Linked DNA regions of Alligator mississippiensis. The protein of the gene in region 1 interacts with the protein of each later gene in a pairwise test. Links are inferred from orthologs where the notes say so. Each region holds a gene or a part of one and is shown in the gene's direction. Other genes may lie near its edges.

Evidence for each region. The genes of interacting proteins can lie anywhere in the genome.
Region 2: the proteins of TNFAIP1 (region 1) and POLR1C interact in binary tests that used the Homo sapiens proteins (3 or more experiments, as listed by UniProt). The link is inferred for Alligator mississippiensis from reciprocal best matches to the Homo sapiens genes TNFAIP1 and POLR1C.
Region 3: the proteins of TNFAIP1 (region 1) and ARMC7 interact in binary tests that used the Homo sapiens proteins (3 or more experiments, as listed by UniProt). The link is inferred for Alligator mississippiensis from reciprocal best matches to the Homo sapiens genes TNFAIP1 and ARMC7.

What each region holds. Positions count from the first base shown.
Region 1 is NC_081837.1:7,379,012-7,389,262, forward strand, and holds the start of TNFAIP1 (BTB/POZ domain-containing adapter for CUL3-mediated RhoA degradation protein 2), read left to right. Parts: upstream 1-5,119; 5' UTR 5,120-5,211; intron 5,212-5,284; exon of another isoform or gene 5,285-5,382; intron 5,383-6,527; 5' UTR 6,528-6,652; coding exon 6,653-6,866; intron 6,867-9,912; coding exon 9,913-10,082; intron 10,083-10,251. Other genes in the region: IFT20 (intraflagellar transport protein 20 homolog), read right to left, coding at 385-466, 1,003-1,106, 2,225-2,310, 4,291-4,417. UniProt on the Homo sapiens protein: Substrate-specific adapter of a BCR (BTB-CUL3-RBX1) E3 ubiquitin-protein ligase complex involved in regulation of cytoskeleton structure.
Region 2 is NC_081824.1:168,538,187-168,548,823, forward strand, and holds POLR1C (DNA-directed RNA polymerases I and III subunit RPAC1), read left to right. Parts: upstream 1-5,575; 5' UTR 5,576-5,602; coding exon 5,603-5,671; intron 5,672-5,763; coding exon 5,764-5,835; intron 5,836-5,968; coding exon 5,969-6,076; intron 6,077-7,517; coding exon 7,518-7,650; intron 7,651-7,789; coding exon 7,790-7,909; intron 7,910-8,134; coding exon 8,135-8,287; intron 8,288-8,686; coding exon 8,687-8,836; intron 8,837-9,468; coding exon 9,469-9,585; intron 9,586-9,902; coding exon 9,903-10,021; 3' UTR 10,022-10,404; downstream 10,405-10,637. Other genes in the region: protein YIPF3, read right to left, coding at 2,340-2,432, 3,264-3,309, 4,029-4,135, 4,693-4,902, 5,070-5,147. UniProt on the Homo sapiens protein: DNA-dependent RNA polymerase catalyzes the transcription of DNA into RNA using the four ribonucleoside triphosphates as substrates.
Region 3 is NC_081831.1:12,289,427-12,300,687, forward strand, and holds ARMC7 (armadillo repeat-containing protein 7), read left to right. Parts: upstream 1-6,199; 5' UTR 6,200-6,279; exon of another isoform or gene 6,280-6,360; intron 6,361-6,831; 5' UTR 6,832-6,846; coding exon 6,847-6,913; intron 6,914-7,618; coding exon 7,619-7,762; intron 7,763-9,374; coding exon 9,375-9,712; 3' UTR 9,713-9,983; downstream 9,984-11,261. Other genes in the region: NT5C (5'(3')-deoxyribonucleotidase, cytosolic type), read right to left, coding at 10,389-10,531, 10,628-10,742. UniProt on the Homo sapiens protein: As a component of the minor spliceosome, involved in the splicing of U12-type introns in pre-mRNAs.

The sequences.
Region 1 (10,251 bases):
GATTCTGACATCCAGAGGCAATATAAAAACAAAGAAAGCAATGTCTAAAAACAATAATTTATTTTTCCGATTTATCTGAAAGTACCGTACATTTCAAAAAGTAAGGGAGTCGCATAGCAGCAGCAGTATTTATTTGAATTCAAACTACTGACCATACCAAACTTTTTAAAAAGTAGTGAAAGGCTAGAAGTGGTCTTCTTTACATCTGGGGAAAAACCTTTCTTATTGCCATTTTGAGTTCATATAGAATTACAAAAAGCTTTTTCCTTTGTACAAACCATTTTGCTCATTCATACACAATGCAAAACTGCATATTTTTGGAATTATTAGTATACTGGAATGGTAAAGTTTTCCAAGGTCATTGCTGTTTGGTCTCCAAATCCTTTATTTCTGAAAAATGAACTGGTCGATGAATTCATTCTGGTCAGCTTCTATTTTACATAGGGTCTCGTACTCTACTCGATATCTGAAAGAGAGAGAGGTTAAAATGTTGTTTTTAGTCCCCCCTGTGATTTAAGTGACTAAGTTCCATTTCCAAGAGTGACTTAAGCCTTTTGGGGTAGAGGGAAATCAGTATGCTTTAGGCTCCTACGTCACTTTGAAAATAGAATTTAGCTATCTAAATGACTTAGGCCTTGCACCACTGAGAAGATCAATGCTGAACTACCTTTAAAAAAAAAAGTGAGCAAACCAAACACTGAAGGACAGTTTTCCTAGCCTGCCCTCAGCTGGCCACCAGTTTATCAGGAATGCAAGACCTGGCTTTGTTTTAGCCCCACTGACCAAACTGCTGAAGATGGACTGAACTAAAATCCAAAGCCCTGGACAATGCTCCCTTATAGACAGGCGTGCACATGTTAAGATTAAGCATTTAACTTGCACAATCACAGCAGAATTCACAAACTGAATAAATCATGTTTGTTACAGTATTATCTTTCAAAAGATCAAATCAGACTTCCAGAGCGAGCTCTCAATCTTGGCTTCATGTACACACAAACTTACCTTTCCAATTGCATTTTCTTCTCAGTTATTAAAGCCTGAAGCTGCTGTTGCTGTGCTTCCCTTTGCTTAGCTATAGACTTTAGCAAATTTCGGGCACCAATTGCCTATAGAAACAAGATTGCTTTTTAGCAAAGGAATTTTATCATTAATGTTTTGCTACTGTCATTTCCAGCTGGACAATTTTCAGGTCCTTTTAAAACACTTGGGCACTGAGAAGAGTAACATCTTCATAGGATTTCCTCTTCAAACGTAAGGTTTGCCACGATAACTGACCCACACACAGTATATGGCAAAGCAAGATAGATGCTAAGAGAGTTTGTGGTACAGACAGAGTCCCTACAAATCTATCGTCTTTGTAGCTGTGAAATGTCATGCACAATGTGCATTTCTGTGGATCAGAGGCTTGCTAGCTTTGCACAGACATTAGTGAACTGATAGTGGCATCCTACCAAGTTAGGTAATAACACCACTTTCCTGTCAGGGGAAGCTAACACCACCATTACTGGTAATTTGGCCAAGCCGCAGAGAGGGCAGTGGCAAAGCCTTGTCTAGAAATATTACAGGATCATTGATCACTGGTACAAGGGAAGGACAGGTAAGCAGAGAGGTGACCGCTAATTCCGATTTGCCCCCCCCCCACCAAATCAAGATGACAATACATTTGCTTGTTTATTATACTATTTCTAAATTAACCTATAAAGTGTACAGATGGGTGATGTGTCTGTCTACGTATGCATCAACAATGGAGTTCACAAAAGAAGCTATCATTAGTGTGTATGTAAATGCTTTTTTCTCTAATCAACCTCTTCCTTCTGCCAACTCCCTTCAATGACGATGCTCTCCCTGGTGACACTTTCTGAATGATGCCGCACGTACAAAATTCGGGTCCTTTGGAACAAATTAGCGGAAGAAAGAAACTGATTAGAAAGCATGTTTACCTGCACATGTGCCAACAACCAGTAGGGCTGGGATAATGCAAATACAAGAGTGATGTGACACTATAATGAGCGTGCTTGTCAGAATCTGTCAATGGTTCTTTATACACCTTGATAAGGGGAGACCTGGCTGTCACTGCAGAGATCCCGCACGCACCACCATCTGCGACTGTCTATTTCAGATGGATTGCTACAGATTGCTTTGAATGTGAAATAAGGGGGGGGGGGGGGGGGCGGTCTTTACTTGCAGAGGCAGAGGATAGCATTAGATAATATTTGCACAGTACCTTCATCTTCTCGCTTTCAGCTGCTTTTGCTAGTTGATCAACAAGTTCAATTAAGCTACCCACTATTTTTTGAAACTCTGCAATTTCTGGGGAGGGGAAAAAAAAAGAGAGAAATTGCTGTTATACCAAATGCATCCATCAAAGTGATACCAGTGTTGTATTCTGATAGACTTTGAGTGCTTTGTTTTTTAAACTGGGATTACTTTGTGCTTGACAGAAACAACGCGCACACAGATTGCATCAGGAACAATGCACGCACAGATTGTTCTGTGGTTTTTCTTGTTACTCAAATTGGGTGCTATTTCTTCTACTATGATGTGTGCTTCTGTGTTCTGACTTGTTTTATCTCTGGATTTAAATAAAGCCCTTTGTTGGCTTCTTTAGCAAGTGAAGTGTCCTAACATACAATATCACAATAAAGCCCTGCGGGAAAATAATCCTTTCAAAAGACAAAGCTGGGCTTCCACCTACAAAAAACCATCCCTTTTCCTTGCGTGAGACCAAATGCATTTGCTGTATGTGCTGCGAGCTGGAAATGTCACAATAAATAATACTTCACGGGAACTTTGCCTTGATTTAATCTTTAACCGAAAGCAATTGAGCAGTCAGGATTTGCAACGAGAAGTCGCCTTACACAGGTGTATCCATGCCATTCGCACGGCTGTGGTAGCAAACAGAAAGCAATGCTATCTGCAGCCAAGCCATTCCCTACACTAATGAATTCACTTCAGAAAACATCTCCATAAATAATAGGTCAAATATTGCTGGGGGGGAGAGGGGAAGTCGACATCGACCTCTTCTATCTATGCTGGACGGGAGCTTGGCAATGAGAAGCTCAGGCCTGGATCAGGTTTCTTTTCCGAGTTTCCCTCGCTTTATGCGGGTTGCGTATGTGCAAATTCGCTCTTAGGCAACGACCCTTTTTATACCAAAAATGGGAAATGGTCATTATATGCAAGGTAAATTCACTCTTATGTGATCGGTGCAGCGGAAGCCCGCAGTCCCCTGCTTTGTGCAGTGCACTGTGGGAGCGACAACACAGGCAGAGGAAGCAGACATTATTTGGGGGGGGCCGAGGTGGCCGGCGGCTCCTCCGGGAGCTGTGAGCCACGAAGCCGCCCGCAGCCACTGCCCCGGGAGCGCCACGACGCCACGTCACTGCAGCCGAGGCCCTGGAACGTATCCATGCTTGTTACATCGTAAAGTGGGTTCCCGCCCCTCGATGCGAATTCGAGTCACGCACCGCTTTCCAGCGTCAAGCGAGGGAAACCTAAACTCGGTGCTTGCGAGGCACGAATTCGAGTTACAGACGTTTTCCAGGAACTTGCCTACCGCATCGAGCGAGGGAAACCTATCCGTGCAATTCGTCTTTGCTTGTAAGGCACGTGTACACGGCACGAATTTGAGTTACGCACCGCTTTCCAGCGACGCGTGTACCGCGTTGAGGGAAACCCGCACACGCAACTCGTCCGTGCTTGTGCGACACGAATTCGAGTTACAGACGTTTTCCAGGAACTTGCCTACCGCATCGAGCGAGGGAAACCTATCCGTGCAACTCGTCTTTGCTTGTAAGACACGTGTACGCGGCACGAATTTGAGTTACGCACCGCTTTCCAGCGACGCGTGTAGCGCATCGAGGGAAACCCGCATACGCAACTCGTCCGTGCTTGTGCGACACGTGTGTGCGACACGAATTCGAGTTACAGACGTTTTCCAGGAACTTGCCTACCGCGTCGAGCGAGGGAAACCTATACGTGCAACTCGTCTTTGCTTGTAAGGCACGTGTACGCGGCACGAATTTGAGTTACGCACCGCTTTCCAGCGACGCGTGTAGCGCGTCGAGGGAAACCCGCACACGCAACTCGTCCGTGCTTGTGCGACACGTGTGTGCGACACGAATTCGAGTTACAGATGTTTTCCAGCCACGCGCGTACCGCATCTACTCCCTCCCCCCGAGGGGCCAGGCTCGGAGTGACCCCCTGCCCTGGGGAACATGGGTCAGCCCGGCCCTGCTGACTCAGCACACGTGGGGGCCCGATCCGGGGGGGAGGGAGGGGGGCACTCACTGTCCACGAAGGCCTTGCACTCCTCCCGCAGCTCCGCCGTCTGCTGCGCCACGCCCGGCTCCAGCACCCGCAGCTTGTTGAGCTCGTCGAAGTGCAGCCCCGCGCCACCCAGCAGCTCCCGGGCCATGGCCGCCGCCTGCGCCCAGCGGCCTCAGTTTACCCGCCGGTGGAATGGGCGCAGCAGCGCCCCCCGCGCCCTGCGACTCCCCTGCCCGCGGCCTTCGGCTGCCACGGCGACAGCCCCGCCCCCCGCGCGGAATGTACCATCCCGCGGGGGGAGGGAGGGAGGGGATAGGCTGAGAGTAGCGGGGCGCTGCGTTTGTTTAGCTCATTCCATTGTTTCTCATTCTATTTTAGTATTCTTCTTAATTATTTATAATGACGCGTGGCTGCCAGGCTCGGCTCCTTGCTGACCTCCGCGCGGCCTCCACGTCGTGGGGCCTCCCTGCCTGCCGCCGGCCTGCCGGGAGTTGTAGTTCCCGACTGCCGGGGCCCATCCACAAGTGAGGGGCATGCTGGGAATGGCTGTCTTTGCATGCAGGGGCTTGCTGGGAGCGCCCGTCCGCAAGTGAGGTGCATGCTGGGAGTGACTTTTTGCCCGCGGAGCATGTCGGGAGTTGCAGTTCCAGGCTACCGAGGCCTACTGGGAGCTCCCGTCCATAAGAGAGATGCATGCTGGGAATGGCTGTCTTTGCCCGCGGAGCATGCCGGGAGTTGCAGTTACCGGCGGGAAACTCCCATCCACAACAGAGGCGCGTGCCCGCGGAGCATGTTGGGAAGCGTCCCCACCCCGCGGAGCACGCTGGGAATTGTAGTCCCCGCCGCCGTGGCGGCGAGGAGAAGTCGGGGGCGGGCCTGGGCGGGAGGAGACGTGCTGACCGGGCCGGGGCGGTGGAGCCGGCGGCGGAGCGGCCTGCACCGGTACGAGCTCGGGGGGGTTGACCGGCAGAAGTGAGGCGGGAGGGGTGTGCCCCCCACCCACAGGCCCGGCTGGGGGCCTCCCTGTGTTTGTGCCTCCGTCTGTCGCTGCAGGGGTGTAGGTGCTGCGGGGTCACACCCCAGGTGCTGGGGATGGGTTCAAATGATCCTCAGGTAATTTGGGGGGGGCTCGGAGGGAAAAAATTGGGGGGAACGCAAGACCCATCGACTCAACCCGAAACCTGGTGGAGGGGAGCGCAGGAAGCTCCCCGGTTGCGGGGGACGAGGTCCGGGCGAGGGGCGAGGTGCCCCCGGCAGCGCGCGGGTCCCATCGGTTTAGTCGCCAAGGGCCGGAAAGGCAGACGCTGGCCCTACGGAGATGGGAGCAGCCATTGCTTGAAACCGCAGTTGCCTTTTGTTGTCTCTGGTCTGAAAGAAAATTTAGGACCAAACTCACCTTGTGAATTAGTTAAACCTTGCGGGAAGTCAGCGTCATCTTAATTGAATAACGACTTTTTTATGTTAAAAAGCAGATTTTTTTTTTCTCTCTCCTTAGTATATAAGTTACTTTGATAAGAATATCTTCGTTAGAAAGGTAACCCAACATACCGATCTATAAATTGGTGTGTAAAATACCTTTAAATCCATTTATTTATACATTTATTATTGGTGTGTAAGCTACCTTTATACTGATATAATTGCGCCTGGGCTACATGTGCTGCTTTAATCCTATCAGTAAACTAACAGAAATAGTTCAATAGGTTTTTGTGATGTGAAAAGTTTATCCTGTGGGAGGAAGGGGGAAATGGAGGTCTGGCTAAAAATCATTTTGATGAATTACCCGAGATGGTGACAATCTTCAGCCATTACCTATTTGGGTAAGGTTTGAATTGTAACCTCATGCTGAAAGGTTGTGTGTCCTCTTGACAAGCTTTTGAACCTACTCTTTCGTCCTTCTAGCTTGCAGTCCCTGTGACTAGCTTGCAGGGATAAAATATATGAGTCCCATATTTTCATTGGGAAATGTAGCTTCCCTGTTGATGTAATCCAGGGGTGGCCAACCTACGGCGCACATGCCACAAGTGGTCCAAGCAGCCTGTGTGTGGGGTATGTGAGTGATCAGGGAGGGGGCAGGAAGCAGAAAGCAACGCAGCAAATGGGGCAGGGAGCGGAGGGAAGGAGGCAGAGCAGCAAACCAGGCAAGAGAAGAGGATTGGAGTGGCAGCCGGGGAGGGTGCAGTGGTAATTTGTGTCCTGCCTGTCAGAAAGGTTGGTTCCAACTAAACTAATCTATTCTTTTGTTTCTAACGTTGTCAAAGGCTCCAGTGGATTATGACAATCGCCGCCTTGCCCTCCCTGCCCAGCTCATTGTGACTTCTCCCCAATCACGGCGGAATCCATCAAGCCCACGTGCTGCAGAGTTGTCATCTACTTGCAGAAGGAGATGTCTGGGGACACGTGTTTAACCACCATCTGTCCAGCTTCAGGAGCCAAGCCCAAAGCCTGCAGCTTCAAAGGGGGCAGCCTTGGCAACAAGTATGTGCGGCTCAATGTCGGGGGCTCCTTGTATTACACCACAGTCCAGGTGTTGACCCGGCACGACACAATGCTGAAGGCCATGTTCAGTGGCAGGATGGAAGTGCTCACTGACAAGGAAGGTAAGCAGTGCCAACAGTGGGGCTGCGTGTGTCTAAGGATGGGAGCTTAGTTAATGGAAGAGATTTATGGAGAGACTTCTTACAGACAAGAAGCATGGGACACCCAACCCCTGTTGGTTTTCAGTTTCACTCCTCCATGCTTTGAAAAATCTCCCCTTTCATAGCTGGGATTGTTGTTTGCTCATGGCACAGCTGGTATGTGGATTGCCTGCCTTTTTCCAGGACTAAACATAAGGTGGTATGTGGGTTGTTGCTTTTATAGTGTTGCATAGAGGCATCAATCACAATATGCGAAGGGGGTACATAAGTGACATCATTTTTTAAGGTTTTATTTTAAACTCTGACCTGCTTTGTTTGAGGAGCTGCATTTTTCTTCTCCTGGTGATGTGCTGCTTGTTGCAGGTAAAACTGTCTACAGCGAGATGACTTTTAGAGGTTCTAGTTGGCAGTCAGGACCTCTTGGACTGGACCCTTGTGCATAAGCTTACAGGGTGTTTGCAGACATTAAAAAAAACAATCCAAACCAACCAAGTAACTGGGCTTTACTGGAAGAAGCAGCACACTAGTTCTACCCAGCTCTGCAACATTTGTATAGATCGGGTGCTTCAGCAGGGCTTTTTGGTGCTTTTTTCTAATAGCTGATTCAATCAGCTGTTAGATAAAAGACCTGCTAAAGCGCCTGATCTGTACAGGTCAAGGACCAACTGACTGTGCTACCTCTTCGGGACGTGCGCTTGACTTAACACAGGAGTACACCGAGTTCAAAGTGAAGCACCATTTCAGGGTTTTTTTAATATCTGCAAGCAGCCATAAAGCTACCGTCTTTGCAGCCCAACAGTGTACAGTGTAAACAAGAGCTTCACGGCTTTTTTTTTCTTTTTTCCAAAATAATAGACAAGGAGGATCATCAGTTTGATCAGTAATTGTACATGCTTTCCTTTTCCTCTTGGAGATGCTCTCAGCCAGAATAATTCTTTAGGAGCAGGAAAGCAGGGGATTGTGCCATAGGAAGTAGAGGCCCCCTGATTAGGGGCAGTTTTTAAATAAAACCAATCTCAGTGTTTATACAAACCAAAAAGCATGGAAAGTATTATCAAGGCTTGGGTTATGTGTAATCTGTGTTCTCTTAGCATTTCTCTTAGTACCCATCTGTAAGAGCTGTTTACCATGCAGAGATTGTGCTAAGTCACCTAGGGATGTTATGGTACACTGAGTTTGAACTGATGCACCTTTGTGTAGGTGCTGCACATCAGTCTAAACCTGGCTTGTTAGACACCTAGTTTAGTGGCAACCTTGCAACACTGCAACTTTGTGTTACGGCAAACATAAAATAGGGATATTACTACCCAAACAGGGTTTAGAATCTTTTATTGGAGGTAAACCTCTCTGTGTTTCTGTCTCCTTCCATACACAGCTCTCGAAGTATCTATTCTTCATCCCTCTGGAAATGTAGGATATTAGCTCAATGACATTTCTCATTCTCCTTCCACTTCCAGTCTCCGCAGTAGAGTAGCTGCTACGCAAGGGTGTTTGGCATTGTCTCTCTCACAGATTTCCTGCCACTGACTCTGCAGCCTGTGCTAACAATGTTTAATGGCGGGTTGTACATCCTCTTTGCTAATGAATGAAACATCAGGGATGTTTTAGAATCATTTGGAGAGCCATCTGTCCTCCACTCTTTCCTGTGCTAGGGTTTTCCTGTTTGGTGGCTTTCCTGCCTGCACGTATTCAGGGAGCAAAATGGCCTGTCCCTCCTCCCCTCACTGGTTGCTGTGAGCTGCTGTACACTTTGGCATCTTTGGAATGCGGCTTTTATTGTTCTCCAAACAGCAGTGCTTGATGACTAGAAAAACCTCTGCCAAATACCCGCAGGTGGTCTGCAGAGCTTAGACCTGGTTTAGACCTAGTAGTTGCTTTCAGCAAGCCTCTTAGCCCTCTTGATGCTTTCCTAGGGAGAAGCTGCCTGGCAACAGGCAGTACCTGGGTCTCTGCTGGCAACATATGTTGGCAGGAGTCTTGCCATCCTTGGCAGGGGATTAAGAGAGTCGGGTACTTTCATTGAGTTCAATTATTGAGTTATCCATATTTATAAAGACTTGTAAACATTTTAAAATAGTGAAATGTTTTGCTATTACAACAACCATCATAGGCCTCTATTAAGTGAGCACTTCTTTTTATTTAGGCTACCATGTTTGCTAGTACAGCAACTAAAAATCACACAAGCTGAAAGACTCCCAAAAGGCCTTCCATCACAGACAACGTTTTCTCGAACCAGAACATCGAAATACTGTGCTGAAGGATTTCCAGTATGTCACAGGATTGAAATGTTCTGGGACCCTGTACTATTCTTGTATGCCTTCCCAACCTGCAGGCAGAAGTAGTCATTCCTTAATCCTAAGAACCAACTTTGCTGGCAGTACCCTGAGCTTCTAAGTAGACCTGCAATCTGTCTAACAATAACCAGTTTTCTAAAATAGACCTGCCTCCCCAGGCAGTTAAATAGAGCTCTTAAGACTAGCTATAAAATTGACCCCCCCACTTACTTCCCATAATAATTAAACGGGTTCATGCCTCTAACTGATTAAAATCAGACATAGACAAGACAAATGATAGCGCATGGTTTTGGTGCAGAAGGGTGTGGACTGATCAGCAAGGAGAACAGTCTCTTGGGTTTTCCCGTGGGGTTTTGCCTCTTGAGGGCTGATTATTTTTTGTTTTAGGTTCTTTAATCTAGGTCTTGCTTGTCTTAGGAACCCAGCTGGATCTTTCTTCTTAGGAGGGTGGAGGGAAAAGAGGTAATGAGATGAGCAATTCCTTTCTCGGTTTCATGTCTGTGTGGGCCTGATCCAGCTTGTCTGATGTCAGCAGTCCCAGCACAGACAATAGGGCATGATTGACTTCCTATTTCAGGAGATTTTAGATTCCTTTCAAAGGATGTGGGTGGAGAGTTGGTATACTGGGATGCCATGCTTGGCCTTCTTAATGAGTGCCATTTGCTTCTCCTGATGTAGGATGAGATAGAAGTGTTGTGGCATTTATCTTTCAGGCTGGATCCTTATAGACCGTTGTGGGAAACATTTTGGAACGATTTTAAATTATCTTCGAGATGACACGATTGCGCTTCCAAAAAACAGGCAGGAGATCAAAGAGCTGATGGCAGAAGCCAAATATTACCTCATTCAAGGCTTAGTAGACCTGTGTCAGACAGCCCTTCAGGTAAGCTATGGCAGCAACCTGTGGGTTTTTTTGCTTCTAAAACTTACCCTGGACTTCCTGTTTCGTGTGCTTTGTGGGGCTGATGCACGTCCTGGCAGTGTTTCATTGGCCTAAATATCAAGTTTTGGATGCCAAGATCAACGAGTTTGATTTCCATCTTCATCATCTT
Region 2 (10,637 bases), on another chromosome or scaffold:
CAGAACCATCCCATATCACCCACAAGGGGACCTGCTACCCAAGCATTTCAACTGGACTTTGCTAAACATGTTGGGAACACTGTGTGCAGAACAGAAAGTGAGTCAGCATGTTGTGTTTTGGGCACATGCCTACAATGCCACTCAGAGTGACACCACCAGGCTCAGCCCCTACTTTTTGATGTTTGAGTGGGAACCTTGCCTCCCTATAGACTTGTATTTCATGGTAGTTGAAGACAGCAAGGGTTATGAAGTGCATAAACAGTATCTCACCAAACCGTGGGACAGACTTAAGAAAGAGTATCACCTCACCATGACAACCACTTCTAAGAACACCGATAAGACACAAGCACCAGTATGATGCTAGAGAGTGGGTACAAGGACTCCAGTCTGAAGACAGGGTGCTACTGCAGAATTTCAGCATAGTGGAAAAACACAAGATAGCTGACAGATGGAAGGCCACACCTTACTTAGTGGTCAAATGACTAGGAGACCTACCAGTCTATAAGGTGAGACTTGAGACAGGGCTGGGTCCAGAGAAAACTGTACACCGAAACCTGTAGTTGGCAGTCAGGGAGTTAGTCTGTCCCCCACTACCCATGGAGGAGGGCCACCCAGAAAGGACAGACTCCCGGAAGGGGGAACTGACTAGAGCCTGGCACAGACCACCCCTTAATTGAGATAGACAGAGAGGGACCTCCAACCCTCCTGTCACCTACAGGAGAAAGCCACTGTGCACCTGTCCCTACCATGCCCAGGGCAGTAAGAATTAGAAGGCCTGTGCAGCACCTAACTTATAATAGCTGCAGAGTTGCATCACAGACACCTGTTACCGTCCCATGCCGGCATTAGAAATAACCCATACCAAGGAGTTGAGTTGCGGGGATGTCAAATTCTGGGCTGGGGGGAGAATATAACATACACAAAATGAAGGGAGAACATAACACAACAAAATGAATAAGTCATTTTGTACTGCAATATGTGTTCTGGTTTCATGTTGCTATGTTTCTTGTTTGTACTGCAAAGTGCGCTGTTTGTGTGTTTGCTGTGTATAATTCCTGTACCGCAAAGTGCACTTTAGTTTGGCTATGATCATGGATGCCACCAGTGTCTATTTTGCTGTAATACTGCATCTTGCTTTCCTTCTACCCCCAGGCCTCCTGTAAGCATTGATCTGGGGAAATGCATGCTGTAGGGACAGTAAGCAGAAGCCCACCCCTGCTTTATGGCCTTTTCTTTCAGGCTCCCCCCACCCCCGCTTGTTCTGAGACCAGAAAATCTGGTCTCTTTTCTACTGTACAAATCAAGGGATCATCAGTGTTTTTTAAATTAATTGGTTAAGAGAAAGGCATGGAAGCATGGCAAAACCTGGTAATATCATGCCGGGCACATAGGAAGAGGCAGCTGGCTAGAAGAGGGGGCTGGAGCTGGGGTTGGGAAAAAGGACCCCAATGAAGCGCCCCCATCCAGAGGAGCCAACATGAAAGGGAACACTCAGCCAGGCATTGCTGCAGATAGGCTTAGCCCATGAGGCTTTTCTCATGATCTTCTCTGCCCCAGCAGAGCTGTGTGATTGGAACTAGGAATTTTGGGGGTGCACTATGCTAACTGGAGCCACAGTCACCCCTCCACAGCCACCATGTAGAAGTGGAGATCAGCACCCTACACAGCCTCACAGGGAGCAATGATGGGTCCCTGAGGTGCAGTGAACCCCAAGGCGTAGCTCATAAGACTCTCTGGTGTGGGTCCCTCCTGTCCAGCCTGTTGCTGAGTGGCAGGTATAGGGGTGCAGGCCTCCAGAACTAACCCTCTGGGTGAGCCCCCCAAGTCCCAGACTGCCTGGACATGGGTGGAGTCTCTCCAAAGAGGTGCAACTACAAACTATACCTTGCTGTTTGATAGTGCTTTCTTTGTGTATTGTAATATATCTAACCTTTTGTGTTTACGCTGCTTGCGAGGAGGGGGCATTGTTTATGAGGGGCACCCCCATCCAATTGAGCGATCCCAGATTTTTGGGTGGGTACTTGAGCCACAGTAAAAAACTTATTGGGTATCCCGAAATTTGAACCCAGCCCTTGTTGCTGCCAACTGGTACCTGGCACAAGAGCTACAGCACAAGGCAACATTGAGGAGGCTATACAATCTACTACACTGAGCTGCCACCAGCCAGCTTCTCGGGGCAACAGGGCATCGGTCCCTCTGCATCTTCCAGCCCTAGGCAATGAGATCTTCCCACCAGCTTCCCACTCAAGTCCCTTCCAAAACAAAGTCTCCCTCACCCACCTCCACATAGTCTTACAGCTGGGTGCAAAACCTGACCTGTAACCAAGACTTGCTCTTACAATGATAGTGTCCGAGGTCTTCATCCCATGCAGAAGGATGGCCACCAGTGTGAAGACAAGCATGAGAGGCCCGTAGAGCTCACCTGCAATCTTCTACAGGGGGAGACAGACAGGGGAGGGGCTTGGTAAGTGCTGCATCACACTGAACAAGGGACACAGCAGGTGCCTCATACAGAGTTTGTGACCTGACCACTTGTTGACCTGAGCTGCTACTCTGCGAAGGCTGGTGACAAGGACAACACTAAACTCACCATTTGATTAAGAGTCTTTGAGGAAAGGGTACAGAGCTGCTGAGTGAGGCACCAGAACAGGAGCCCGGGTCAGTTCTGTCCCACTGCCCAAAGATTTGACTGAGGAACCATTACAGGAATCTGTGCCCGAGCAACTCACATGAAACAATGACTGCTGCACACGTATGACATAATGCTTTAACTAACTTGCCACCCATTCGTCACTAGCTCTCCATTAACTGTGGGGAGATTGAGGCAAAACATAGGGCCACAGAAAGAGTCTGTGTCAGACCTGGAGTTCCCAGCTCTCATACAAGAGAAAACAAAGGCTGTTTATAGCTCTGTTGGCAGCAATATATCTAACTGGCTTCTTTCTTTTAGCAAACTGGCAGTTCAGAAAAGTCCCTGGAGAGGGGAGTAGGAGCTAAAGCTGAGTAACTGTGCCAGCTCTGCAAAGATAGAAGATGAAGCAAAGGTTTAATAAAGTCTCTCTTACAGCTTTTTTTGCTTCTGGTTAAGAGTGCTGAACTCTCAGCAAGTATTAGGTGCACAGCCCACTGATAGAGCACTTGTTACCCTGCCATCTCCACTCCTGTTTATATGAATGAACTGTGTTCCATGGGCCCATGGCCCATTCAGTTGGGATACAGAGGCTAATTTTCTGTGGGGGAAGCTTCCTTGGGAAAGTACTCACCTGTGGAAAATTAATCATCTTCACAGGGATCATGGACTCCAGCAACCTGCACCACACAGAGGTACACAAAGATTTCAAGAACAAAGAAGGTAACAGAAGAGGTTAACAATAAACCCAAAACATGAAAAGCCCTTGTCCCCCATTCCCTGGGCCAGCTAAGGCCTGGACCCAGGGCCAGACTAGAACCTGTGGTTTAGTGATGCATGACTCCATATCCTATCCTCCATTACAACCAAGCCAGCCAGTTCCCAGGACAACTGGGGCACTGGTGGCAACACTGCCTCCAGAGGAAAAAGCCTGTACTGCAATCCTAATTAACTGCACAAGCCAGTTTCTGAAAGGCGGCTGCCAGCCCAATGAACTAAGGAAGGACTTGCTACCACAAGGGATGTGGGGATCAGCAGGAGGTTATCAGAGAAGACCCCACAAAGCTTTGCCTTGTGGAACCAGCCATGTTATGTGGTGGAGAGAGGTGGGGAATCGCTCGCCACACATCAGAAGAGGTGGGAAACGAACACTATACATACTAGAAGATGCTGCTGAGTTCATGTCTGGAAACAGCACCAAGGACCTATAAACAAAATGAGCAGCCTCCCACTTTAAGGAGGGTGGCTCTGCCAACACCACTGCAGCTCTAACAAGACAGCCCCTGTTTTGCTCTCCTGGGGGAGCCTTTCAAAAGCATCCCTCACATTGGATGGGGCAGGAAGGTGAGGAGCCTGCACAGGCCCATTTACAGCCCCCCTCCTCCCCGCCCCTGCTCACCTGTTCCGAACTTGGATGGGCTCCACGTCAAAGTAGGGGCGCAGGATGTCAATGTTGGCGTAGAGACTGAAGGCCTTGGAGGCCTGTCTCTTACCTGCCTGCCACATCTGGGGGGGAAGAGGTGGAAACTTGCAGTAGACAGACTGACCACTGCTGCCACCCTCCCACCACCCAGGGGACTACCCCAGGGCTGGAGCACTAGGCGACTGGAAGCAGCCAGGATGCAGAGCAGCTGGTCGAGAGCAAGACAGGAGCCACGGTCCCAGGAAATGCCCTGAAATGACTTCCCAGGGGGCTACCCCATGCCTTATTCCCACCACCAGCCTGGTGCAACTATTGCCTGGTCATCCCCTGAAACTGCAAGGGAAACTGGAGTGTCTCAGTGTCAACCGGAGGGCTGCAAGCTGGGCAGAAACCACAGGTATGTGTACACATGCGTGCATCTGTGTGCATGAATGCACATACGTGTACGCACATCTGTGTGCATGTGTAGCTTCATATGCATGCATGAGCATGCCTGAGTGCACATGTGGACCTGTGGGCACATACCTGCCAGCCACCCACCCTCTGTGTGCCACGGGGCCAGTAAGGCCAGCACCCTTGGGGAAGGCAGGCAGCAGTATGTGCATGTGTGGGGGTGGGATGGCACCCAGCCCTGCCTCACCTGATCGGCCACCTGCCGGCCCAGCTGCCCACGGAAGCCCTTCATGCCCAGGAACTCGCCGTCCTCCTCATCCCCCACCGCCGCCTCAGCCTCCTCCTCCTCCTCCTCCTTCATCCGCTGGTGCATCTCGCCCATGTCCTCGAAGCTCGACCCCGACGTATCGTCCATGTTCTCCATGTCAATCACTGCTGCCCCGCTGCTGCCGCCAGCCTGCACGCAACCCGCCTGCCTGTCAGCACTGGCCCGGGCAAGTCCGGGCCCAGGATACCCCCAGCCCCTGGCATGACCTCCCCCATGCCCTAGGACACCCCCCCCATGATACCCCCTTTCTCCCCTGAATACACCCTCCCCCCCGGCTGCCCCGCCCCCCGTGGTACCTGCATGGTGTCCTCGAAGCCGCCCCAATCCGCGGCCGCCCCGCCCCTGCCGCCCCCCGCCGCGACGGCCCCAGACATCCTGCTGCCGCGCCGCGCTACTAGGGGCTTCGGACAGCTGCGGCCAGATAGCTCGGGCAGCGGATGTGACGCACGCCCTGGCGGGGACGTGGAAGCTGGGCTTCCCTCTCGCGAGAGTTCCCCTTAAGCGCCATCGTCGTGATGGCGGAAGTAAAAAACAAAACAAAACACCTCAAGCAAACAAAAGAGAAACACAAACTGAGACCGGGCGGACAAAGGAGACGTCCTCCGTGAGTCATAACAGCTCTGGAATCAAGGCAAGGGACGTGCCATAGAAATAGTAACTAAAAGCATCCTCTCTTAGGAGCAGCCACACAGCATGGGGGAGCAGTACGTCGGACTCTTAGTGCGCCTGCGCAGAGGGGAGTCCCAAAGAACCGGAGGTCTGGAACGTAACACGTCCACCCAGCGTCACGTGATGGGTAGGAGCTGTGTGCTTGCGTCACGCGGGCAAGATGGCAGCGCCCGGTAGCGTGGAGGAGATGCGGAGTCGCGTGGTGCTCGGCGAGTTCGGCGTCCGCCACGTGAGGGGGGAGAGGGGCTGGGGCAACGGGCGGAGGGGGCTCGGGTCCACGCGTGTCCCTCGTGACCCACGCGTCTTTTGCCCGCCCCGCAGGTGCACACCACGGACTTCCCCGGCAGCTACCCGGGACACGCCGACGCTTGGGACCCGGCCACCTTCCGCCAGGTGTGCAGGCGGGCGGGTGCAGCAAGGGCGGAGCGGGTGTCCTATCCCCGGCCCCTCCGAGCTCCTGGGGGTGGCAGCGGGGCACCCCATTGACCCCGCGGTGTCCTGTCCCCCCTGCCCTGGCGGGCTGCAGGGTTTCCACGTGGACGTGACCAACATGGATGAGGGGTTGCTGGAGTTTGACCTGGTGGGCATCGATGCCGCCATTGCCAACGCGTTCCGCCGCATCCTGCTGGCCGAGGTAGGGGCTTGTGCTGGGCTCCACTCAGGATGGACCAAGCACCAGGTTTGGGGTCAGGAAGGATTTTGCTGCATGGCGAAATTGGTTTGGGTTGTGGGGGGATTTGCCTTGCTCTGTAGCAGGGGTGCAGGCCTCTGCCCAGGACCACTCGATATTTTGAAGAAGCAGGACGGTGGCTCTCATGGGTCCCTGGCTTGACCTGCAGCAGGTTGGGGTGTCAGGTCTATGCTGTGTCAGGGTTGCAGGTGGTCAGGTGTAGCGGTTGTGGTTCTTGTGAGATGGTTTGGACAAGAATGATCCTGCCTCAGGCAGGGGCTGGACTAGATGTGGCCTCTGGAGGTCCCTTCCAATCCAACTTCCTGATGATTTCGTGACCCAGTTGTCGTGTCCCCGACTCTGCCCCGCAGTCCCTTGCTGCCGCAGGGAGCTGGTCCACAGCAGGGTTGGTGCAGGCTGGAAGCTGCAGGCTTGTACCTTCCCTGTCGCAGTTTCCTTTGCCTTTCATCAAGTTTTGTTCTCACTGCTGGAGCAGGTGTGGGAGTTGACAGCTTGAAGAAATAAGGTCATACTTTTGGGAAAAGAGGAAGACTGATTAGAGCAGAAAAGGCAGAAGTGCCAAAGTTGCTGGGGGTAGAGGGAGGTCAAGGGCTGCGGGACGACTCATTTGCTGCTGAGCTTGTGTTTATGCTGGAGGATGCAAAGCATATATTCTGGAGAGGAAATAAGCAACCGGATTGTTTCCTCTCCAGACAGCCAGAGAGGGTGGTCTAAGACAGGCCTAGTGTTACAAACTGAAGCTGTTTAATTAACCAGCATATACTGCAAATGGCAGCACTGGAGCTGCTTCCTCATGAGTGTTTTGCACAGATCTCTGTGCCTGGCCTGGGGTAACAGTGAAACTAGTGGTATTAGTCAGTTATGAAGAGACTGCAGAGTCTGGCCTGCAAGAAAACTAGGAGATGCACAGAGAGCAAGAAAAGAAGAGTAAAAGCAGAGGAGAAAGGAAATGGAGGAACCTAGTTTAGATCAGCAAGTTTCAACCAGAGCACCGTTAAATCTTTCTAGATGTGGGAACACCTGCATGCAAGGTGTGAGGTAAAACCAGTAATTACAAACAGGAATCCTTGGTGTCAAAACCATTGCGACCTGCTGTGGTCTGTCTGAATTCTTTGCAACAGAAGAATTACTCTAGTATTTTTTTTTTGCACTCAAGAAATGAATGATAACTCAGAGCTGGTGTCTTTCAAGGGAGCTTGAGTCTAAAAGGGTTGAGAACCACTGATTTGGATCACTTGTGGGAAGGAGCTGTCACCAGGAAGAGTTAATTAGACCCCAGAAGGGGTCTCTGTGGAGCAGAAATGTTCTGGCTTGATATTGGGTGGGGGTGCACTTCAGGCATGCTGCCTGCCAGGACTGACTTGCTCTCTCTGTACTCCTTAAGGTACCGACAATGGCTGTGGAGAAGGTCTTTGTGTATAACAACACATCCATTGTGCAGGATGAGATCCTGGCCCATCGCTTAGGCCTTATCCCTATCCAGGCTGACCCTCGCCTTTTTGAGTACAGAAGCCAAGGTGAGAGCCAGCACCAGGACAAAAGGATGCATTGGGGGGCTTTTCAGAAGGGGTGACACAGAGCTGTGTTGGTTTAGGTTCAGGAAGGGGTGGAGGACGTGGCCTAGCCTGGGACTCGCTCTGTTTTTCCTCTTCCCAGGAGATGAGGAAGGCACAGAAATTGATACCCTCCAATTCCAGTTGAAAATCAAGTGCAGCCGAAACCCTCGGGCAGCCAAGGAGTCCTCTGACCCTAATGAGCTCTATATTAATCACAAAGGTAAACCTCCAAGTTGCCGGGGACCCTGCTGTAAGCCCCATGTAACCTGAATTTTTTTTTCCTACCCTTGAGAGTGAAGAGAGCCAATCCTGTAGTTCTGTGAAACTTTCTTTTTGGCAAGACCTGATGCTGTTGGGACAGCAGCCCTTTGTTGTGAAGTGTTGGCTTCTCTCCATGGGTGCTGAGGCAACTTGGTTAGATATTGGTGACCTCTCTTCTCCACAGTGTACAGCAAACATATGACGTGGGTACCTCTAGGCAATCAGGCAGACCTTTTCCCAGATGCATGTTTTCGACCTGTTCACGATGACATCCTCATTGCCCAGTTACGGCCTGGCCAAGAAATCGATGTGCTTATGCACTGTGTCAAGGGCATCGGTGAGTTGGGGTTATGGGCTGGGGCAGTGAGACAAGTGTGAGTACCCCTGATGCAGGGTGTGTGGGGAAGGAAGGAAAAAGAGCCCAGATATTCCTCTAGGGTGGCTTGGTGAGTGCCTGAAGTTCTAAATGACATGAGGACCCCCATAGGATTTCATTGTGCCAAGGGGTGTTACCAGGTGTTCTGATGGAAGTAGTTTCTCCTGATTTTTGCAGAAGCTCAAGGCAGTACTGAGAGGAGCTTCATGACACCCAGCAACTCATTCAGGCTCTTGTCTCCTGGCTAGTAAAGCAGGGACTGTGGCCTTTGAGTGGGGTATGGTGCCTCAGTGCTCCTCTGGCTGCATCATTGCATAGGGTTTGGCTGGGGTCATGACTTTTTCTTCCCTTATTTTCCAGGTAAAGATCATGCTAAGTTTTCTCCAGTGGCCACTGCTAGTTACCGGCTGCTGCCTGACATCACTTTGCTACAACCCATTGAGGGGGAGGCAGCTGAGAAGCTGAAAAAGTGCTTCTCCCCTGGAGTCATTGAAATCCAGGACATCAAAGGTACTTTCTATCCCCACCCCAGGACCTTAGCATTGGCTAAGGGGAGACTGAGCGCAGGCTAGAGGCAAGCATTGCACAGATGGATTCTTTCCTCTGATGTCCCTCCAGCCCAGCTTAGGCCATTCCATTCTGTCCTGGGCCTGGGGTTAACCTATGAATGGCTGTCATATAGATGCATCCAGTGACTGGTTTGGTACCTCCTATTCTCTTACTCCTTTAACACTTTTGATAAGGCAGGAAGTACTTCTTCACTCAGCTCTGTGACTGTCCTCTGCACTGTTACCTGCTGCTCCAGGGTCCAGAAACCCTCTCTTGTTGTAACTCCAGGCTGTCGGCCACTCGCTCCCAGTGGTTATGAGTTGCTGGCTGGCTCCAGGTATAATATTGGACAAGCTGAGCTTTTTGAGCTGGCCCTGCCTGGGGAGTAGTTGGGGGTGGGGTGGCGGTTGGAACTTATCCTGCGCTGAACCTTGTATTAGAAATTACGTAGTTCTTGGTATAGGTCTCCAGTGTCATAGCTAGGTGCAGAGACCTGCATGTTTTGAATGCAGTGTGCTGGTCTGGTAGCATGAGGTATAAATGCTTGTCCCTACCAGCTGCAGGTTCCTATTTCACCTCTTCTTCTCTTGCAGGGAAGAAGGTGGCGAGGGTGGCGAATGCTCGGCTGGACACGTTTAGCCGGGAGATCTTCCGGCACGAGGAGCTGAAAAATATGGTGCGTCTGGCACGAGTGCGGAATCACTATATCTGTAAGTAACCTCAGCCCAACCCCCAGAGTACAGCCCTCTCCTGCTGCACGCGCCATTGTTTCTCATCCTGCTTGGGGGCCACAGAGATTTGCCAGCATGTTCTAATCTTTTTTTTGTTCCTTTTCCTCCAGAAGATTAACTCTGGTACATTCATATTCCAGTAGGTAATGGGTTTCTGGTGGCTTTGGAGTGAAGATAGATCTGCATTTTGTGCTCCTTTTGCTGACTAACTTTGCATCATCTGATGTGTTGGTCATGAAGGATTAAATTGTAGGCTGGTACCTGGTGCCTGTGCTGATCTTTGTGTCTCTGTCCAGTTTCAGTGGAATCAACTGGTATCCTGCCTCCAGATGTGCTGGTGAGCGAAGCCATCAGGGTGCTGATGGGGAAGTGTCAGCGCTTCCTGGATGAGCTGGACTCTGTCCCCACTGACTGAACTGTGCAAGTCTGAGAAGCAGAAGCTTATGCTTTTGGCCTGGGCTCCTTGCAGCCACCTGCAGGGATTGTTTCCAGTCCACACGAGGCATTGGGACCATCTACTGTGTGCTCTCCATTCTCTGTACAGATTTTTTAAAACAGAGCTCTGAGGAGGGAAATGCTTCAGAATAAAGGTCTTCCTGACTGTGTTGTCAGTTGCCGCAGGCAATGTACAGAGGAAATTTGATGTACCACGCATTAGCAGCTGGCTACGAAAGTGTCCTGTGGTTCTTGTTCTCTCGCTGCATGAAGAGAACTAATAGCAAGGGCAAGTGGGCCTTAGGAAAGAGTTGACTGCAAGGTGTTGCTATTGAATTGCTAATAAAGTAAGGGCTGCTGTGACTTTTGTGTCTGAGGTTAACTTAATGAAATGACTGTGATTTGTTTTTTAACTGGGTTAAGTGAAGAGTCGCATACTATTGGTTTATGACTTAATTATGAATCAATACAAAGTTTTGTGTCCTTGCACTTGCAAGGGTACCTGGCAAGTTCTGCTTTAGTCCACATTCCTGGTTTTCAGCTTTTAAATGTCACATTGCAATGCTAAATACACTATTTTCCCAAGGTGAGCAGTT
Region 3 (11,261 bases), on another chromosome or scaffold:
TTCTTTGAAAAAAGTCCTGAACTTGCCAGACACAGGGCCAATTTCAGCACTGATGTAACACTCAGAAGGTCAGGGTCTTCTCTGGTATAAATGGACTTAAGTCAACCCTAGATGCTTGGAGTTAATGACACCTACTTTCTGATGAATAAACGAGTCCACACTGATGTAACCTAGTACTGAGGAGATAAAAAGAAGTGGAAAAAGAAGTATGTGGGGAGGAATTTCATTTAACCTCCACTTTATTCCAACCTCCAATTTGTAGCCTTTCCTGCTACACTGCTCTTCTGTTGTTGTAGCATGCATGTTACATCAGCTTTAGGCTCCATGGACCAAATTCAGAGGACAGGTAACCTGTGGGTGCGAGTTTCTTGCTGCTGAATGGGTGGGTCCACATGAGCACCAAGGAATCTAGAAGATCAGTCTGAAGTCATGCTGAAGCAAGCTTTGACTTAGCCATCTTAGCCACTTCTCTGGATTTGGCCTGGGATAGCAGCCACTGCACTGGCTCTTCCGTGCACTATAGTCCTGATGATGAACTTTGCTTTTATCCCACTTCAGTTCTGATTCAAGGGTAGCAGCCCTCTCAAAAAACACTGGAGCTGGAGATTAGCGCGAGAATCTCTCCACTTTCAAATGGTTTTAAGACTTGCTCTAGCAGTCCCCAGGATAAAAGGTGCTAAAGACTTCAATTCTAGTGACAAAACCAAAGCTGCTATTTGAGACCAATGCAATTATGGGGTCCCAGCCTGCCAAACCTAGAAACCAAGGAATTAAACCACTAGAAAGCTGACCCCCTGTGCTTTCTGAGACTATGAAGGTATCTGTAACTAACCCTGTTGGGTCATGATGTATTGCTTCCACTGTCAACAAGTGCCTATTTTAATAGTGGTCCAGGATCCCTAGAGCATAACATACTTTACACTTCTAGATCAAACATCTCCTCAAGTAAGGTTATTACCAGATTTACATGTAGCCCTTTGCTTCCTAGAAGTGATGGCATCTTATCTCTAGTCACATGTTTTCAGCAACTTCCATAAAGCTCAGATGGTCAATAACTGCAAAGCAATTACTTAGTGTCACTCAGCTGACTGTACACAACTACTGTTTCATACCAAGGAAATGTATGGATTTTCTTCCTCACTAGAACCAATCAATGAGAAAGGACCAAGTCTCAACCCTGTTCTAGCTTCAATAAATAAAGGAGCTAGACAACAGCGTGTGCTTCAAGCGATGTCTGTATTCAATATAATGTTTTACATTTCCGGTTGTTCCTTCCCAGCTGACCTTGTCCTCAGGAGGGAAAATCGCATGATCTCAAAGTCTCTCTGTCATGGCCAAAATGGACATGATACAGGCTTAGGCTGGAACCTATCAAAACTGCCCCGAGCCAGACAGGAAGGAGTCCCAGGAGGCATCTTCCTGTCCTTCAAGAGTCAAGCAATGCAGACAGCACTGGAAAGAAGTGATGGGTTGGCCTGTAGTAACTGCTCAGCAGGACATAACAGCAAAGAGGTTAAGACAGAAAGTGAACAGGGGTGTCAAGAACCATCTTGCTAGTCCTGTGTTACAAAACCAGCCCCAGAGGTTGATTTTCATCCTTTTCAGTGGGAAAGGTGGGGGGAAAGAGTACAGGGCACAGAGTTAATAGGTGATGCATCAAATTCCTGATTAGGAGCAGCATACTGTGCTCCTGGGTTCCAGCCTGGACTCTGTTTCTCTTCTCCCAATTAGCAGGATCTGGAATCACTTCTCTTTAGATTATAGCTGATCACTGTAGCTACCCTTTTAGATGAAGCCCTTAACATCCTTCAGCCCTGTCGCTCCACAGCCCTTCTGCCTCCTGTTGTAACCTAAAGACCTGAGTAGGGTCTCCCCCTGTGTATATATGCTAAGGGGCATGCACACAGGTGGCAAAAACATAATAAAAAGTCCCCCTTGCTTGGAGAACAAGAGGACAGGAAGGGGAGGCCACAAGCTCTAAAGATTGAGAACATAAAGAAAAAGAAACCCGTAACAAAGGTTCCTTTCATTAGCTTAAGGTCATCCAATGATGCAAGGCAGCCCCACTTAATTACCAAGCATAACTGGTTTTTACCGACTTCCCATAGACAGTCAAGCTGAAATCAGCTTTAATTATATACAAACACTAGTGCCTCAACCAGATTATAAACTACTAGAACCTAGGCAGAACAAGGAGAATTGGCCAGGGACACACACCCCTCCGAGGCCCCTTTGCTCTGTTTCTGCAGGTCTCATCAACCTTTGGGCTCCTCCGCACTTTTGCAGTAAGCGTGTCTGTGTACGGCTGTGGCATACAAACCAGGAAGTTCAGACTTAAATATTCAAGGATTCTAATCAAACTTCACATTCTCACTGATATTTAACCAATGGAACCATTGCTGCGGTCCTATAAAAACCAGAGCTGAGAAGGGTGACATTCAGACACAATCTGTACCATTTCAGCTGTATTTAAGGCACTAATGACTGTAGAATCAAGCCCATCCCTAGATTGCCATGCTGGAGACTGGGGTGATACACACATGCTACAACCTAAAACTCACCGAATTGCAGCTGCAGGGGCTACCCCTGTACATGCCTCCTCCATGATATCATCCTGGTTGTCATCAACTGTCCTGGCAAACACCTGGCAGGGACAGCAGTCAGACTTCGAAAGGCTCTAACAATCCCTAAGATAAACAGCAAGTGTCACATGCCAAAAAGATGAGCTCATGGGATCCAATTCTGTATGCTGTTGAGCGGTCTGTAAAGAAAACCATGGCAGTGAGCCAGCTTAAAGGGGACAAATGCACCCACTCTCCCAACAGGTCTTGTCAAGAACGTGACTAGTATTGTCTGTCAGCCTCCCACAAATCTTACATTCAAGTTCTCCAACTCAGAAGCCAGGTGAACATTGTCTCACCCACCTCCCAGGGGGTAGCAGCGCCACCACAAAAACATCCCCCCACACACACCTTCATGTTTAGAGGATGAACATGAGCAGCCAGGGCGATGCTGTCAACAGAGCTAATAGCATATGGGATGCATTAACAGATGCATCACGAGCAGGGCTAAGGAAGTGATACTTCCTTTCTACTCAGCGCTGGTGAGAGCCCAGCTGGAGTACTGGGTCCAGTCCTGGGTGCTGCACTTCAAAAAAGATGTGGACAATCTTGGAAGGGCCACAAGAATGATTAAGGGCCTGGTGGACAAACCTTGTGAGGAAAAAGTAAGGGATCTGGGACTGTTCAGCCCGGGGAAGAGAAGACTGAGGGGGGACTTAGTAGCTGTCTATAAGTATGTAAGGGGTGTACATCGGGAGCTGGGAGAAAAACTGTTCACTAGGGTACCCCAGGGGAGGACAAGGAGCAATGGCCATAAACTGTTAGAGAATGGTTTCAGGTTGGATGTAAGGAAGAACTTCTTTACAGTAAGGGTGACCAGATTCTGAAACAGACTTCCCAAGGAGGTGATGCAGTGTCCAACCTTGGAAGTCTTCAAGAGGAGACTGAACCGACACCTTGGTGATCATTTGATCTCAGTAGTATTCCTGCCCAGAGCAGGGGGGTTGGACTCAAGGATCTTTCGAGGTCCCTTCCAGCCCTTAATTTCCATTGTTCTGATTCTAAATCAATCTGGGCTTATGTCAAAGCAAGAGAAAGACCTCAGAAAACAGATCTAGTGGGTCACAGGAAGACAAGCAAAGCTGGGCCCCTCACCCTGAGCTGATAAGTGATTTTCCCACTCACTAAGCATTAAATAATATGACCTGAAGTGCATCCCTATAGCACATATACTAGCAAATCCAGCTAACGCAGGCTCAAGACATGTGCGCAAGAACAGAAGAGTGATAGTCTCTCTCCTTTTTTCCTCTGTGCAGAATTACAGACTGAGGGACCACAAGTTCAGACCTAGATACCCTCTTCCTTCCCTGCTCCTTCCCCCCCCTCCCATTCAATCCAACTCCCCTCATCCTTCTCTCCCCCCCCTCCACTTCACTTCAGCATCATTTCACCTCCCAAACTCACCTCAGTGGGCTTCCCCCTCCCTCACAGCCTCACACTGGCCCCTGAATTTACTGCTGCCTTCTGCACACCACTTCTATTTCTAGAAACCTCAGCAAGAACAACAGATCTAGTTCACACCAGAAAAGATTTCCCAGTGGACTCGTACCAGCAAGCCCTCCTGGGCAGATGCTGCTTGGACCAGCAAAACAGGTGCTTTTGCAGCATAGCTATGACCTGCTCCCCAAATAACATAACCCATGCCAATGAATGCATTTTCTTCTGGTAGGGCTCTGTGCATTAGGGCTTCTGCTGCTACAGAAGTGTCTAACTCAGTCATTAACAACTTGGTTGACATCACTATATCCATGGTGGTATTGGGGGAGTACAAACTTGGCAACTGCACTGAGCTCCAAGTTGGACAGAGACCCTTCTTGCATTACAACAGTTTTGGTCTGGTTGCTTAAAAAGCACAAGGGTCCGAAACAGACCCACCACCTAGGGCCCCTCAAAAAGATGAACCCCACCACCGATGACACCAGCAAAAGTTTCAGCATAGGCTTGCCCTCAACCTATAAGCTTGGGTAGAAGTACCACCGTATCTAACTGGCTACAGCCAGGTCATTTGGCATCATCTGATGTGTAACTCAGTACTGCATTTAACTCGTTTCATCAATCATTTGTCTCTGCAATGAGTTCCCTGCTTCATAGTTTAAGCCATGCCCACACTCTGGAGCTGCACTCATTTAGCTTAAATGGGTTTAAAAATGAACTTTAACCGGTTTCAAATTACTGTCAGTTAAGCTGATGCAACTCTGTATTCAAACCAGGGCACTGTATTGCTAGCCTGTCGTGGCCTCCCATGTTTCTGTCACAGCCCAGGCTTCACTCCACTTTTTCTGTTCTCATTCACACATCTGGAGGTGCCAGTATTGTTCCCACTTTGCAGTCTCTGCCTTGTCTCTCTCTTTTAACTCTTGTTCTGACATTTCCCTCCCTCTCCCGCTCCCTGAGCATCTCAGCCCAATGATACATTTCAAAAACACACATCATTCCTCCCTTTCCCACCCATGCACGCACTGCCCCTTCCCTGTGAATTTTTGCTTCTCAAATCCGTTTCTCTAATCATTTACTGAAGTAAAGAAAGGGGGAGATGCTGGGATAAAGACTTCTGTTTTGTCCAGGGTAAGTAAATCTTGCGCTGCCCGGGCCTGCCAAGAGGCTGATCAATGTCATGAGTCTGGGAACAAGCTGTTTGTTCTCCTAGTAGTGACTCAATGAAGCGATTACAAACAATTCAGAGAAGTTATGGGACAAGGGACAAATAGTCTGTACTAGGGAAATACAAAGGTGAGCAGGTAACTAACACCGAAGAGAAATGCTGACCCTTCCGAGAGGGTCATTGAAGACTCCACCGTCCAGAACTGCAACGATTCTCCACGACTTGCCGAGTCTGAAGTGCAAGTACTCATCTCCTGACCAGGGAGAGTGGGCCCTTCATTTTTTCAAGCAAAAAATATAGGCAAAAAAACCCCTCTCTCATCCAGAGCTGGAGGCGGGCTGTGAATGTCACCCCAAGCAATCTTCAGGGGTCAAGACTGGGTGTTTTATGCCTGAGATTTTCAGTCCCACTTTAGGATGAACCATCAGGCAAAGACACTGGCTACACGTCTTATTGGCTGGGCAGAAGGTGTGCAACACCCACCCAGCGGAAACAACAGGCTAGAAAAACTCCTTCAAGCGGCATGTACGCTCATGCATGCAAAAATACAGCCGAGCCGTTCGAGCCCTCGTATATCAGCTCGTGACAGAAGTGGGAATTATTATGATTCCATTTTCCAGACGGAGAAGCCAAAATGAAGAGGGTCACCTCAACGAGGAAAGCAGCCGTGCCCCGGCAGGTTTAGCTAGTGAGTACTAGTCAGTGAGTACTAGACCTTTTCCCCAGTGCAGATTCAGGGCAACAACCTCCTATGGTGCAATCCGTGAGGTGAAGTAGGTAAAAGGGCTCTGCCAACACCTGGCCTGGCCCAAACCCAACTCTCCTCAGTGACCGGGGGAGGGGGCCGAGCTCCTGCTCCTGGGCCCGCAGCGCTCCCGCCCCCAGGCCCAAACCGGCCCCGCCCCCACCCGGAGACACAGGAACCACTTCCGGCTCAGCGCCTTCGGCAGCCACTTCCGCCCTTCCCTGAGCGTCCCTATACGTCACTTCCGCCCTCTGTCCTGCAAGGCGCGGGGCGCCGCTGTCCCATGTGAACCCACTCCTGCCCTGCCGCCGGTTCGGGCCCCGCGCGGTCCTGGGCGCAGGTCCCGCCATCCCCGGGCCCTTCCCCTGCCGCTCTGCTTTCTGCTCCATGGGGTGTGCTGCCTGCCTGCTCTTTTTGTTCCCAGCCCTAACTGCTGCTCTGCTTTCTGTGCCCTACCTAACCAGCTGCTCTTTCTGCTCCCAGCACTGTGCTCCCTGCCCAGTCTGCTGCTCTGCTTTCTGCTCCCAGCCCCATCCGCTGACCGGCTTGCATGGCACGCCCACGCAGGTTGGCCACACTTGTCCTGGGAGAGCAAACAATGCTTGTGGGGGTCAGCCAGGGAACCTGCAGCTGTCCCCAGCCCTGTTCGGGCCCCGCCGTGTTTAGCGGCAGCCCTATCCAAGCCTTGACCAGGTTAACATTTGCCAGAGGACCCCGTGAGATCCCCCTGGGGGGTCTGAAGGGACTCCAAAGAAAATCCAGGGACTGTTTAACGCTCACTCAAACATCTTTGTATTAATCTAGCAGCGAAGATGGGAGACTCTAGGGCCCGCCAAAATAAAGCCCTGTTGTTCTCTTTGCAGGATCAGTAGGATCCAATGGATCTGGGGCGGCTCGAGTACCTGCAGGCCCTTGTCACTGAGTTTCAAGTGACGGAGAGTTCAGGTGAGACTGTGGGATGCAACTTTTTATTTTATTAAGGTGTTTGCTGAGCTTCCGGGTCAGCTGGCTGGTCTGCACGGCTCTCCCTTGTGCACTGCGTGGACAAAATCAAAGGTCTGCCCCAGTCTAATAGCGGGGGTGACACCCCAGGACTGGCACACCATCTTCAGCAGCCAGCAGCACACAAAAAGACAATGTGGCTGGCATTACCCATTCAACACCACAGTCTGAATGACCAGGTGCCCATTTCCCACTGTACCAGCTGGGAGCATCCTTCAGGATGAGCCAAGAGCAAGGCTTGAATGTGAGCCTGTAGAGCAGTGATTCTCAGCCAGCATGCTGTGTGATCCTTATAAGGGTGCCATTGCAATGACAAATCTACAGGAGTCACAAAATAAACCCAAGAGATTTCAAATAGGAATCCACAGCGTCAAAAGCATTGTGACTTGTTGGGGTCTTTCTGAATTCTTTGCAACAGAAGAATTGCTGGATTGTTTTTTCCGCAGTCAAAAAAATGAGCGCGAGGTGAGTTAGCATTTTCCATGGGGTGCCTTGAATTAACCAGTTTGAGAACCACTGCTCTAGGGCCAAAGTAGGACACTGCAGCAGTATAGTTACTCTGCTACCACATCATAGTGGATTCAGTTACAGCTTGTCCCCGTTATCAGTTGTCCCTTTCCTGAATCTGAAGCTGCTTTTATGTTGCAGAAGCCAAGGAACAAGTACTGGCTAATTTAGCCAACTTTGCCTATGATCCCAAGAATTATGAATATCTCCGGCAGCTTCAAGTCCTTGACTTGTTCCTGGACGCGCTCACGGAGGACAACGAGACTCTTGTGGAGTTTGCAATTGGTAAGGATTATATTTAAACGCTTATCGAAGTGCTAATGGAGCACTAGCAAGTCATGGGATGCCAGCCTCACGGCTTCGACCCAGTGGTCCATTTGAGCTTTGGAGAAAGAACGAGCCACTGCGACAGAGATTAATTGTGCTGTTTAATGTAATAGTGGATGGCAGCCAAACATAATGGTGATAAGAACCTCTCTAGGATACAGTAACTGGAACAATGTAAGGGGAGGATGAGAGAGCAGGAAAGGAGGCTGGGGCTTGTTATTTTAGCTTAAGGCAAGTCTCCCCTTCATTTCAGTAGCATGCTGCAGTGCTAACAAAATACATATTTATAGGACTAGGCCAGTCCCTCAATACTGGAACAACAACTCAATTCTAATAGTTATTTTTAAGGGAAGTCTCTGTTGCATAAGACAGTCATTGAGAACAGCTAAGGTTTTGCCAGACAGCCTGTGGAAGTACAATATTCATTTGTTACTCTTGCTCTTGTCAGCAGTTAATGGTAATGATTTATACCAAATAATACAATCCTATCACAGTGAGTCAGCATGGGCTAAATATAAACTTGGGAGCCAGCAATGTCAGATTTTAATCCCAAATGGCAAACAGGGTGAGATGATTGGATAATTAAATACCCTTGGGTCCCATCTATATTACAACTTCCTCTGGCAAGACTTCAGGCAAGTAGCACACACTGTTAGTGTGGGATGCCTGACAGGTTAGTACTGTCCTTACCCATGCACCATGTAACAGATAGTAATCAAATATTGCAAACACAATTAGTACTGACATACTACTTTTAATAACACCTTCCATCAGTAGATCACATAATTAAGCCTCCCTATACCCTCTGTATGAGGTAGCAAAGAGATTTCTAGAAACCCTTTTATTGATTACTGGATTGTAGCCACCTCTGGGATGAAACAGGATAACTGCTCAATTGAACTCTTTGGACTGTTAACCCTCTATTTGTAAAAGTTGCCATGAGATTTCTAGTGACCAGGGTTCTGTCTCTCCTATGAAAAAGACGTTACCTCTGACAGCACAGTGCCCCCTAATGCCATAGAGAAGAGCAAGTGTTTTGGTTGAAAACTCCCTTTGAGGAAGGACATGAGAGTAAATTCAGACCAGGAGGCAGATGATATACACCATGTTAACGCTTGTAAAACAATGTTCTGAGCATTTCTTTCTATATTGGGATCTGGGTGTCAATGATGTGTAAACCCTTGCTTAGCCTTAGGGATTTTATGTACTTTATACAATTGCTATTGCATTATTAGAACATTTCATCCCCAGGATTTAGATGGCTGAAAGGTTTGTCTCTCACTGCTCTAGAGGAAAGTCTCTCTGAAGGATAGGCCTAAGTCAATAGCAGCTAAAGCAAGATATCTTGGGTAACTTCCCCTGCCCTCCACCCCCAAATATAGGCATGTTCTTACCCAAACTTTCACCAAACTAAAACATGTTACAACGATTTAGGCATTTTCATCTGAGTTCACATGTAGATAAGCCTTACAAAAGAAGTGAGCAGCCTGGTTGCACCAATGCACTTGAAACTTCAACGTCAGAGGTAAGGTGTTGCTAGCAGATGCTAGACGCGTCCTCTCTGTTTCAGGTGGTCTTTGTAACCTCTGCCTGGATAAAACCAACAAGGACTATATCTTGGAGGCCAATGGGGTGCAGCCTATCATAAACTGCCTATCCAGTTCGAATGAGGAAACGGTGATGTCGGCAGTCACTACGCTGATGTACCTGACCACGCCGCAGTCTCGCCCACAGATCACGGCTCTCCCCGTGGTGGAGTGCATGTTGCGTTTCTCCCTTTCTACCAACAGGAGGTTGAGCAATCTGGCAGTGGTCTTCCTTGAGGACTACTGTACACCTGTGCAGGTCGAGGAGGCCAGGAGCCTAAGCAAACACACTGCGGTAGGGATCCCCCTCCCAAAGGACTGAGCAGCACAGAGCTGCGCAAGCAGCTTGGGGTAGTAACTGAGAGAGCTGGCCCTGTCTTCAGAGCCTGCCTATAGCTGCTGGGCACAGACCAGAGGGATGAAACCAAGTAGAAGGGGTGAAAACCATTCAGATGGAAGTAGCTTTGTTTGGAAAGAGGCAGGGAGGGAGCTGGGCTGCGAGAGCAAATTTGTAATATAAAGCAGGTCATGTCTGGTAGAGGGTAAGCTGCCAAATAAGTTCTGACCAGTAAATGAGATCACTGAAATGCCAATGCTGTTAAACATGACTTTCTTACATCCACACCTGTCACTGCATGGTGGGTGGCACGATATGTAACTGGGGGTTCAGTGCCCTGCCTACTTCACCCAAGCATCCCAGAACACGGTACTAGACCTCACAACCAGCTGCTGCTCCTCTTGTGAAGGATTCCCCCTCCAGCTCAATAACAACTCTCTGACAAAGTGAAATAATTTAATAGGGCAAGTGTTCCAGGAAGTTTGAAGGAGATGCACATCTGTGATGACTCAAAGTTTGGGAGTCATTCCCCATTTAGTATCGTCAGCCCTTGGTGCTGCCTGAGCTATGTCAAAGTGATTCCCTCAAAAGGGACTTGAATGCCAGTTCACAACCCAGCTGTTTCCATCTGCGATGTGAACAGCACTGTTTCCCTTCTCCATTACTTCCTGCGTTTGCTTTCCAATATTGCTCTCCAGTCATCGGCCCATGACTGCAGCCGCCTATGTGGGGGCTTAAGCTCCAAGTGCTTGTTATGGCAGCAAGTGAACAGGATGTGTTCCCAGCTCGGATTAGGCTCCACACCTGAGAAGAGCAAGGGAGAAGCTGAAGTCAGTCATCTTTGTCCTTCCCAAGCAGCAGTAAATCACATGTGAACTTTCTCCCTTAAGTTTCCCAAACCTTGAATGGTGTCCTTGTCATCAAACAGCAGGTCGGCTGATACAATGGTCTTATCCCTGGTCAAAATCAGTCGATCCACAAACTCTGGTCCCAAATGCTTCTCCACCCACTTGTACTGTAGGGCAAAAAGCAAGCCATTAGACCTAGCAGCTTTAGAGGTTCACGCTATAGACGCCAGACAGCTCCCAACCTAAATATTTCAGGCTTCAAGGCTAGGCTGTCTGTATCCCTTCCAGACCCTGCAATTTGGCTGTGCTCCAGGATACCAAAATGGCTTGTTTTGACCTGTACTTCCAACAGATTTTAGTAAGGACTGCATTGAAGAGGTCCAAACTTCATCTAGTTGCAGACCTGTACTGGCCATCTGCCCAGAGCTCACAAATTACATCCAGTTTGATTAAAAACTGTTCAAATACATAAGGCTTCATTCATTTCTTTTTTTCACCAACTTAAGGCAAGAGAAGCTCCAATGTATTCTGTAAAGTTAAATGACAGGAGGCAGCAGAAGAGACTCAAGCCTTTGGCATGTAAACGTCTCCAATAATCAAAGGCCAAAAATACCTTTTAAAAGGCTGTGGACAGATGAACAAATTATACCAAGTTGAGAGAAAGGTTGCAAGGAGAGAAAGGGGTT